2 linked regions of the Coturnix japonica genome follow. The protein of the gene in region 2 interacts with the protein of the main gene of each other region in a pairwise test. Links are inferred from orthologs where the notes say so. Each region holds a gene or a part of one and is shown on either strand. Other genes may lie near its edges.

The links. The genes of interacting proteins can lie anywhere in the genome.
Region 1: the proteins of FAM161A (region 2) and CDR2 interact in binary tests that used the Homo sapiens proteins (3 or more experiments, as listed by UniProt). The two-hybrid records come from large-scale screens. The link is inferred for Coturnix japonica from reciprocal best matches to the Homo sapiens genes FAM161A and CDR2.

What each region holds. Positions count from the first base shown.
Region 1 is NC_029529.1:8,363,007-8,367,141, reverse strand, and holds the start of CDR2 (cerebellar degeneration-related protein 2), read left to right. Parts: upstream 1-1,318; 5' UTR 1,319-1,529; coding exon 1,530-1,608; intron 1,609-4,135.
Region 2 is NC_029518.1:13,367,212-13,371,306, reverse strand, and holds the start of FAM161A (protein FAM161A), read right to left. Parts: upstream 2,811-4,095; 5' UTR 2,688-2,810; coding exon 2,403-2,687; intron 1,934-2,402; coding exon 1,677-1,933; intron 982-1,676; coding exon 1-981. Other genes in the region: CCT4 (T-complex protein 1 subunit delta), read right to left, coding at 3,195-3,209, 3,454-3,567, 4,084-4,095. UniProt on the Homo sapiens protein: Involved in ciliogenesis.

The DNA of each region.
Region 1 (4,135 bases), on a different chromosome or scaffold from region 2:
AATTCTCTAACAACATCCAAAGGTCATTTATCGGTAAGAACATGACTCAATTTGCAGATAATTGAGCGGGGCCGTCATGCATGTCATCAAATTCATCTGTTACGGAATTTCCCATTTCCAGGTGATTACACTTTGCACCTCCCCAACGAGTTCGGCTTCATAAACTGAACCGAGAAACCTACAAAGAACAACAGCATTGAAACGATGGCCGCGTGAAACGTTCATGCTTCAAAAGAGGGATATAAAGAAAACGTGAAGGGTGATTCGCTACTGAAAACATCGTGTTCTTGTTAGAAGGTGTATCCACATCTTCACAAATACACCGAACGTATGTGAGACCTCGGGGCTGCGACCCTGGGCAGGTTCCAGTGCAGAACCGCGGGCATCTCCCTCGGATACACGCTGGGCATTAACATTCTCGAGCCGTATTGACTCAGTTCCTTCCTACGCACGAATAAGAGACAAATCGCTCCCGTCGCTCCAGAAAACTCCCAAGTATCGTTTGTTTCACAAAAGGCTCCGAACAATGCGCCTCCAGCGCCATGACTCACAGCTGCGCGCAGGGTCTGACTCGGCTCCCTGCGTTATTGGCACGGCTCGTTTATGAACCGGCTCCTGGAGGAGCTGAGGTCCCACACACCTCCCTGCCCCACAGACGTGCTCTTTAATTGTACAGCAATTAACACGCGTGAGCCGCCCCGCACAGCACAAAGCGCTGCGGGCTGAGGCACAGCGCAACGGCTGCTCCTGCTGCAGCGCCGGGCACAGCAAAGAACCGGCACCGCTCAGGGAGAGCCGGGAGGAGAAGGTTGGGCTGCCCGGCACTGCGGGGCGCACAGAGCGGCACAGGGAGCCAAGGGACGGAGCCGTCCTGTCAGAGCCCTCACAGGGAGCGGCAGCAGCTGAGGGGCTGAGGGGCCTCACGAGGCGATGAGGGGCTCCGCGTGAGGAGACGCCCCGCGGGGACACGCAGCAGCACGGCCGGGCAGCTGCCACGCCCTGCCCCGCTCCCAGCGCCCCGTGCCGCCTCAGCCGCACCGAGACAACCCGCGGCACCGACACCACCGCCAGCCCCGGCCCCGTCACCGGCCCCGCTCCCGCCGCCCCTCCCGCGGGCACCACCGACCTCCTCCGCCCGGAGGCCGCGCAGCGGGACGCTGGGGCGGGGCCGGCCAGGCGGGACCGACCCCTCCTCCTCTCTCATTGGCCGCCCGCCACGGACTCGCCTCCTGGTTGGCCGGCGCTCCTTTCGATCTGCCCTGCGGGCGGCTCCCCATTGGCTGTCGGCAGAGGAGGCGGGGCGTAGTGTTTGAATCGCGGCCCGGCGGTGGGCGGGCGGTCGCTCCGTGCCACGTTGTCGCCGGCGGCTCCGCGCGGCCCGACCAGAAGGGGGAGAGGTTCGGCAAAGTCCGGAACCGCTCGGCAATGCCCGGAGCCGGCTGGTAAGGCGACGAGCTGCCGGCTCGCCCGGCCCCGCCGCCGCCCGGCGCGAGGTGAGCGCGGCCACCGGACCGAGAGGGGAGAGCGCGATGCTGGCCGACAGCCTGGTGGAGGAGTTCGAGATCCGCGAGGATGAGCCGTGGTACGACCAGCAGGACCTGCAGCAAGGTGGGCGGCACGGCACGGCACGGCACGGCGGGGCGGGGGGTCGGGCGGAGGGGACGGGGCGGATGGAGGAGCGCGGGGCGGCGGCGGGGAGAGCACGGGGCGGGAGCTGGGACCGCCGGTACCGGCACGGTGCGGCTTTGTCTGACGGAACGGGCGGCTGCTGCCGTGCCCGGCCCTGCCGGCAGCGGGGCGGCTCCGGGGGCTGCGCCCGATGGAGCACGGCCGGGATGGGGCGGCGGGACCACGCGGGAGGGAGAAACGGTACCGGCTGAGCCGCGGGCACACGGCGATGGATCTGCGGTACAGACATCGGCGGACGCGGCGATGGAAAGAACGAGCCGGGAGCTCCGGAGCTCGGACCGGGCGGGACGGGCGGCTGCTCCGTGCGGGAGCTGAGTCGGAACCCGCCGTACGAGGCACAGGGCAGCGCTGGGAACCGTCCCGAGGCGGCAGCGCTGCTCCGCGTGCTGTGTGTGTGTGTGCGGGATGCTGCCGCGGCCACAGGTTATAAAGAGATCCATTGAAATGAGGTGCTGAAGCCATTGTTTGCTGTCAAAGGGATGAGCTGAAAATCTGAAGTCAGGGTTTGGTATTTTTCCGCGTCGTTATTTGTGGGGTAGAAGATGTGCATGGTGGAGCCGTGCTGCTCTCCTGCCGTGCTGCTTCAACTTCGCTCTTTGCCACCGTGAGCGAATACTCGCCCTTGGTTCCCGGCCGGGGCTGGGCACTGCTCCGCTCCAGGGGTCGCTGACTGCTCTCCCTGCACCTGGAACGTCTCTTCCGAAGGATCAGCTTCTCACGAGCCCAAGTGGAAGGCACTGACAGCCTGCCAGAGGGAAAGGAGAAAGTGAACCGATGGGCAGGCTGAAATGCAGATAGGTTCCTTAAGGGAACATCTGTGAAACGTCCTGCTATAGTGGACTTGTACAGTCTGGAAAATAGTCATCATTCTAAAACCAAGCAACACAAGTGCACATAAATGGAGCAGCAAGGCTGGGCACTAGTGAAACTTATCACAACCCACCAACCAGAGCACGTGTAGAAATCAAGGAGTGCGTTTGTGAGGACACATCACTGAACACAAACCTGCAGCCCTTCACAGCCTGCCCAGGAGCTCAGGGAGGGCAGCAGCTGGACAAACTTCCACTTAGTTTAATTTTACAGTTAGACTTCAACTTAGACATCCTGTACTACAAAGGCATTCTACTACTGAATAGACTTACTTTTAGAACAAAAATCATCTGAATTGCTTTGTTAGATGGGCTATGAAAGCATAAAATAAGAGTTTAGTACCACGTTCTGTCTTTTGCTCAGCTACAGAAACGCTGCCAACAGGTAACAGGAAAAAAGCAGAATTGTTGTAGGATGTTCACATAAAAGTGCTGCGTGCTTCTAGTATCACAGAGTGACTCTCAGACAAACGTGTTCTCCTGTATCAGGAGAATGCACTCTACATTTGACTGTAGGTATCTGCAATGTAGAGACACGGGTGCACAATAAATTGTTAACTTCAGAACAGGTCAGATTGGTTCAATTCTTTCCTTTTCTAGGGGTAGCAGTTTGAGAAAAAGCCCTGAAATAGGCTGTGTTTCTTAACAAGGGGTGTTACAACAAAAAAGCTATGTGAGGATAAACTGCGAAGTGTAAAGCAGCGAGCCACGCGGCTCCCAGCTCTAACAAGAACTTGTATGCAGGGTGATTTGTTGTAAATAAATTCCAGAAACATTATTCAAAGCATCTGACAGCTACAGCCCGTTGTTTCCTACCTTAAAGTACATGTAATGGATACCACAGCTGTTGTTTGTCCTGAGCAGGACATCTACAGCTTACACAGACAAGTGAATGGGAACATTTTTCTGTTTGGTCTGAATTCAGTCTTTGGTTTATGTATCTGGACCAAGTGCTCACTTCAGACATGCTGCCAAAGTGAAGGTTAGCACAAAGCAGTCTGGGAACAGCCCTCTGTCTGCTACAGCAACCAGCTGATAAGGGAACTGGGGAAGGGCAGGAAGGAGATGAGAAACACCTTAAAACAAGGGCATCTTAATCACATGAAAACTGAGAATGTTTTCTTGTCTAACTAGAACAGCGGGTGATGCAGTATGTCTCATGTATTCATTTCAGGCATCTTAAAGAGAATCTGGGTTTTTCTTGAACCTCCTTCTGCTTCTTTCCCATTAGTGATGCTATCCCTACCCATATGAGAACTAACAAGGCTGCCTGCATGCAGGAGAAACCTGGTCAGACCCAGGTAATGGGAAGGAGGTGAAAAGTAACGTTAGAAATCTGTTGAATTTGGAACATGTAATACCTGCACAGTGTAGTTACTATTTTAGCAATAACACAGGATTGATTTCATCACGTTATGTTAGTTTTTAAATTGCATGCATCTTTAAACATAATAATATGAAACATCTAGCAATACTCATGCTGCTTCCCTTCAGAAAGGAGCTGGGTGTTCAGATGACTTATTTCTTAATATGAAACAACTACAGTCACTGTACCCTGGAGGTGATTGAAGTGAAAT
Region 2 (4,095 bases):
ATGTACGGAGTGCGGAGATGGAACGGCTCGCACACCGTGAGGTGTTTCACCTGCTGCTGCTGCCGGAGCCGTTTCTGAAACTTCTGGTGTAGCCGGTCAAAATCTGGAACGCTGTGTTGGACCTTGGGTTGGCGCTCCGTTTCCTTTGGTTCAGCACACTTGTGTTTCTTCTTGTTGGCATCCTTGGAAGCCAGCCTGCTGGTGGGCACAGATGCATTTCGCAGCAGCTCCTCAGCTCTCATTCTAATCCGGATTTCTCTGTAGAGCTCTTCCTCCTGCAGCTTGTCTCTAACAGACGGGCTATAAACGCACCTGGGAACTGGCTTTGCTTTGAATGGTTTTGTTTGCCTTTCAGGTGTAGAGAGGTCTCTCAATTGCATTTTTCTGATTTCATCCCTTTGCTTCTCTCTTTCAATGAACTTAAACGGCTTCTGAGAAGCCAAGAGCTTGAGTTTGCTCCTCTCCTTCACAGTCTTCCTGCGCTCCTCATTCCTTTGCACGATCTCACGGTAGAGGGGCAGGAAGACGGCAGCGGGCACTGGAGTGGCTCGGAACTTTTTCTGACACTCTGCTTCTTCCTCCAGCTGCTTCTTCAGTAGGTTATTTTCTATCTCAATCTGTGACTTGGATTTGACATTCTGTTCTTTTCTTCTGGCTTCTCTAATTGTCATCTGGAAAGGCTTGGGCACCGTGACTTTTGGTGACCATGCCTTCTGCTTCTGTCTTGTCCTGGCAGCCGGGGCTCTGGGCAGGCTGTGCTTCCTGGGGGGAAGGTAGTCATCCACCGAGAAGCCGTCCCACATCCTTGCAATCCTCTCCTTAGCAAATAACAATGATCCGGTTTCACTGCAGCTGTCTTCAGATGGCAGTTCTCTGTTGGACTCACCAGACACACCTGAGCCAAAGGGATCGCTAATGCTGGAGTCAGAGAAGGATCTGGGCAGACTTAGAGGCTGATACGTGCTCTTCTCCCAGGTTGGCCTTTAAACAGAGGGGAAAAAGAGAAGTTGGTTTGAATCCATTCCAGCATTGATTTGAAGGCAGTAAACTGTTTTCAGTGCCCTCACTAGAGGGAGAAAGATGAAAAGCACTTGCAGGGTATATAGCAAACTGCTGATCACAGCCTGAACCTCTGATTGACCACCTGAGGCAAGCAATGAGTCAGCTGGGGGAGCACAGGTGAAGGTAATTCATCTGTGCTACCAGAAGGAGTTGAGCCTGGCTGCACCTCTCCCAGATCCCATTTAAGGGCTGACCACCACTAAGGCAGGATCTCTTTGTCTGGAGATTGTTCCTGTGTGGAGTTTACTGCAAACCTTCAACACTGGTGAGCGTTTCCCATCATCATAGATTATCTTTCTATCATGATACGAAACATCTGTTTAATCTCTGTTTACTTATTGACTGTATAACTGCACAGAGGGTGAGAGAGGGAAGGGAAAAGGGTAACAAGGCACTGTGCTTTATTAAATGCATTGCACAGATTCTGCTGTGGGCATACTTGTGAGTGTGACAGCCTGCTAGCAAAGTGAATAAGCATTGTAAGAACTGAAGCTGACCTCGCTGTAATTATCCCTTTACAGGAAAGGGGGAGAGCAGCAGTTCCCAGCCGCAGCACATACCTGCCCCATGTACTGCAGCCTGCAAAGGTCCTCCAAAGGTACCACAGAACTTACCTACAGCAGACATAGGAAGTTGCACTGTTAGTGTTGTTCCTCTCCAAAAGCTTCACTCCTTGTAGATACAGCTTGTTCCGATACATGCTTTCTAATTTAGCCATGGTCTCCATGTGGGCATTCTTCAGCTCCTCCAGCTTCAGGTAATATTCCTGGTTCGAGGTGCCCAGCTTGGAGAGCTCTGTCTGTGTGTCACAGCCTGTGCCCGGGGCGATGGGCTGCTCGCTGCCAGGGCCCGGCTCTGTGCCCAGCTCCCCCTAGGGATAGAGGAGGCATTTCTGTGTCAGGCTTTGTGGTTCAGAGGGAAGAGGAATGAGGTTTATAGCGCTGCTTCATTTTATTGTCTCATGAATGAAATGCTACCGCCGAATTTCATACCTCTTACCTATGCACAGACTTTAACACACGCTGCATGGAACAGTCTTCCTGCAGTGCCTTATGGCTTGAGACTGCCGTTTATGGGAAGTTAAATAACGAAGTCTGTCCCTGTGAGCCCTTATCCTTGTATCGGGAAATAGATCCAGAAGGATCTTTTGGAAGGGAAAAGTCCTTTTCTTGCTTAGAACACAGCTCTAAGACAGCCTTAACCGGCACCTCCCCCGCCCGTTTCCATAGCCGCTGTAAAGCGAAGCCCTCCGCTGCTCCTCCTAAGCTCCTTACAGCTCTGCGGCCCATCTGCTCCGCGTCCCACCGAGCCCGGCCCGGCCCCGCCGCTCCCTCCGTTACCTGCGCGCTGTGCTGCGGATCCCGTGGGTTGTGGGCAGCGGGCGCCCGGCTGTGCGGCTCCAGGGGAGCACGGGGGCAGGCGGCGGGCGGCTCCGCGCTGTGCGGAGCCTCCATGGCTGCGTGCAGGGGCGGGGACGTGTCGGGACGGGAGAGGCGGGGCCGCAGGGCCCGGTACCGCAGGGCCCGGTACCGCAGGGCCCGGTACCGCAGGGCCCGGTACCGCAGCCGGCTGCAGGGCACGGGGCGTCTGGGGCTGTGTGAGGGGGCGCGGCTGGTTCCGCTCATTGGTCACCTCCCGTTCTAAGAGGTTTGAGCTCCAGACAAATGGGGGATTATTAGTGAGTACGGGTAAACTAAGGTCAGGAATGGTCTTCTACCTCTTGGAGGTGGAATCATTGAGCACTGAGCCCTGTTAGCACCATGGGATGGCCGGGCCACAGCCCAAATGGGGAACACCTTGTAATGGGAAGCAAAGCCTGGATCAGCTAACTATGCTATGTGAGCTGCAATGATGTGGAACGCTAATGTAAATGCTAATTTAATTCAAACTAGTGAAGTCGACCTCCTTTCTAGTGAAATCATCAAGCAAAGACTCAAGTAGACTGGTGCCTGTTTATTGATAAACAGCATTTCCTTTCCGAAACCAGGAAATGTATTAAATTAACATGAGAAAAGTACATATAAGCATTCGTGGACTTTTAAGACAATTCACACAGGCGCTTCTGGTGAGGAAGCTGCAGCTCAGACCATCTGAGGAGCTGCAGAGCACAGTCCCAGCTTCCTTTATCCAGCTTATCGAGTGTTCACCTGCAAAAGCACAACAGCACATGTGAGAGGTCCACACAATACAGTAACAATGACTTCTTTGCTTATGTATTGTTACAGTCACTGCAACATCTTGCTTTAAGGTACCCTGCTTATGCCAATAGCAGTTTAATTCTCCCGTGCCCTGTTTTTAGATGACCAAATGGTAGAAACAGCTGATAGTATCATCTGTGTTTCCACCTATTCTGGCATTTATCAACAAGAACGTGATACAAACGCTACTCACCACATCGTCAATCTTAAGAATGCTGCGCACAGTTTCTGTTGCCAGAGTCAGGGCGCTCACAGACACGAGCAGCGGCTGCACCACCAGCTCCTCCAGGATGTTGGAAATGCCACCCTGCAAGAGGAAGGCACCATCACTTTGTGCACGTGAGCCTACAACCACGTTTAACACCTTCTAATAGGATCCCAGAAGTGATGCTGTGCTGAGTTAGACTATCAATTAGCTTGCACGCTTCAGTTCTCAACAGGAATATTACTGTAAAGGGCTGCTGCTGAGTATCTGATGTATCCACTCAAAGTGAGCCAAGAGAAAAACCAGCCATAGCTGTTAGCAGTTCAAACAAGACGCTGTCCCAGCAGTACTGCATGTACTACCCCCAACCCTTCTAACCACACCTGCCTGCTTTAAGTTCACTGTGACTCCAGCTGGAAAACTGTTTTTGAAGAGAAATGTGAAGGTACCAGAACGCCATGGATGTAGAATGAGAACCTGCCATTAGCAGTACTCAGGGTAAGTTCCTAACTTTAGCAAGAATTTTGTTCTCTGTATTTCAGATTTCAGGTAGTACATCTTCCTTTTAACAGCCTATTTATTTAAGCTACAGAGTTCTATGTACAACTTCTTCATTACCTTTCTGACATT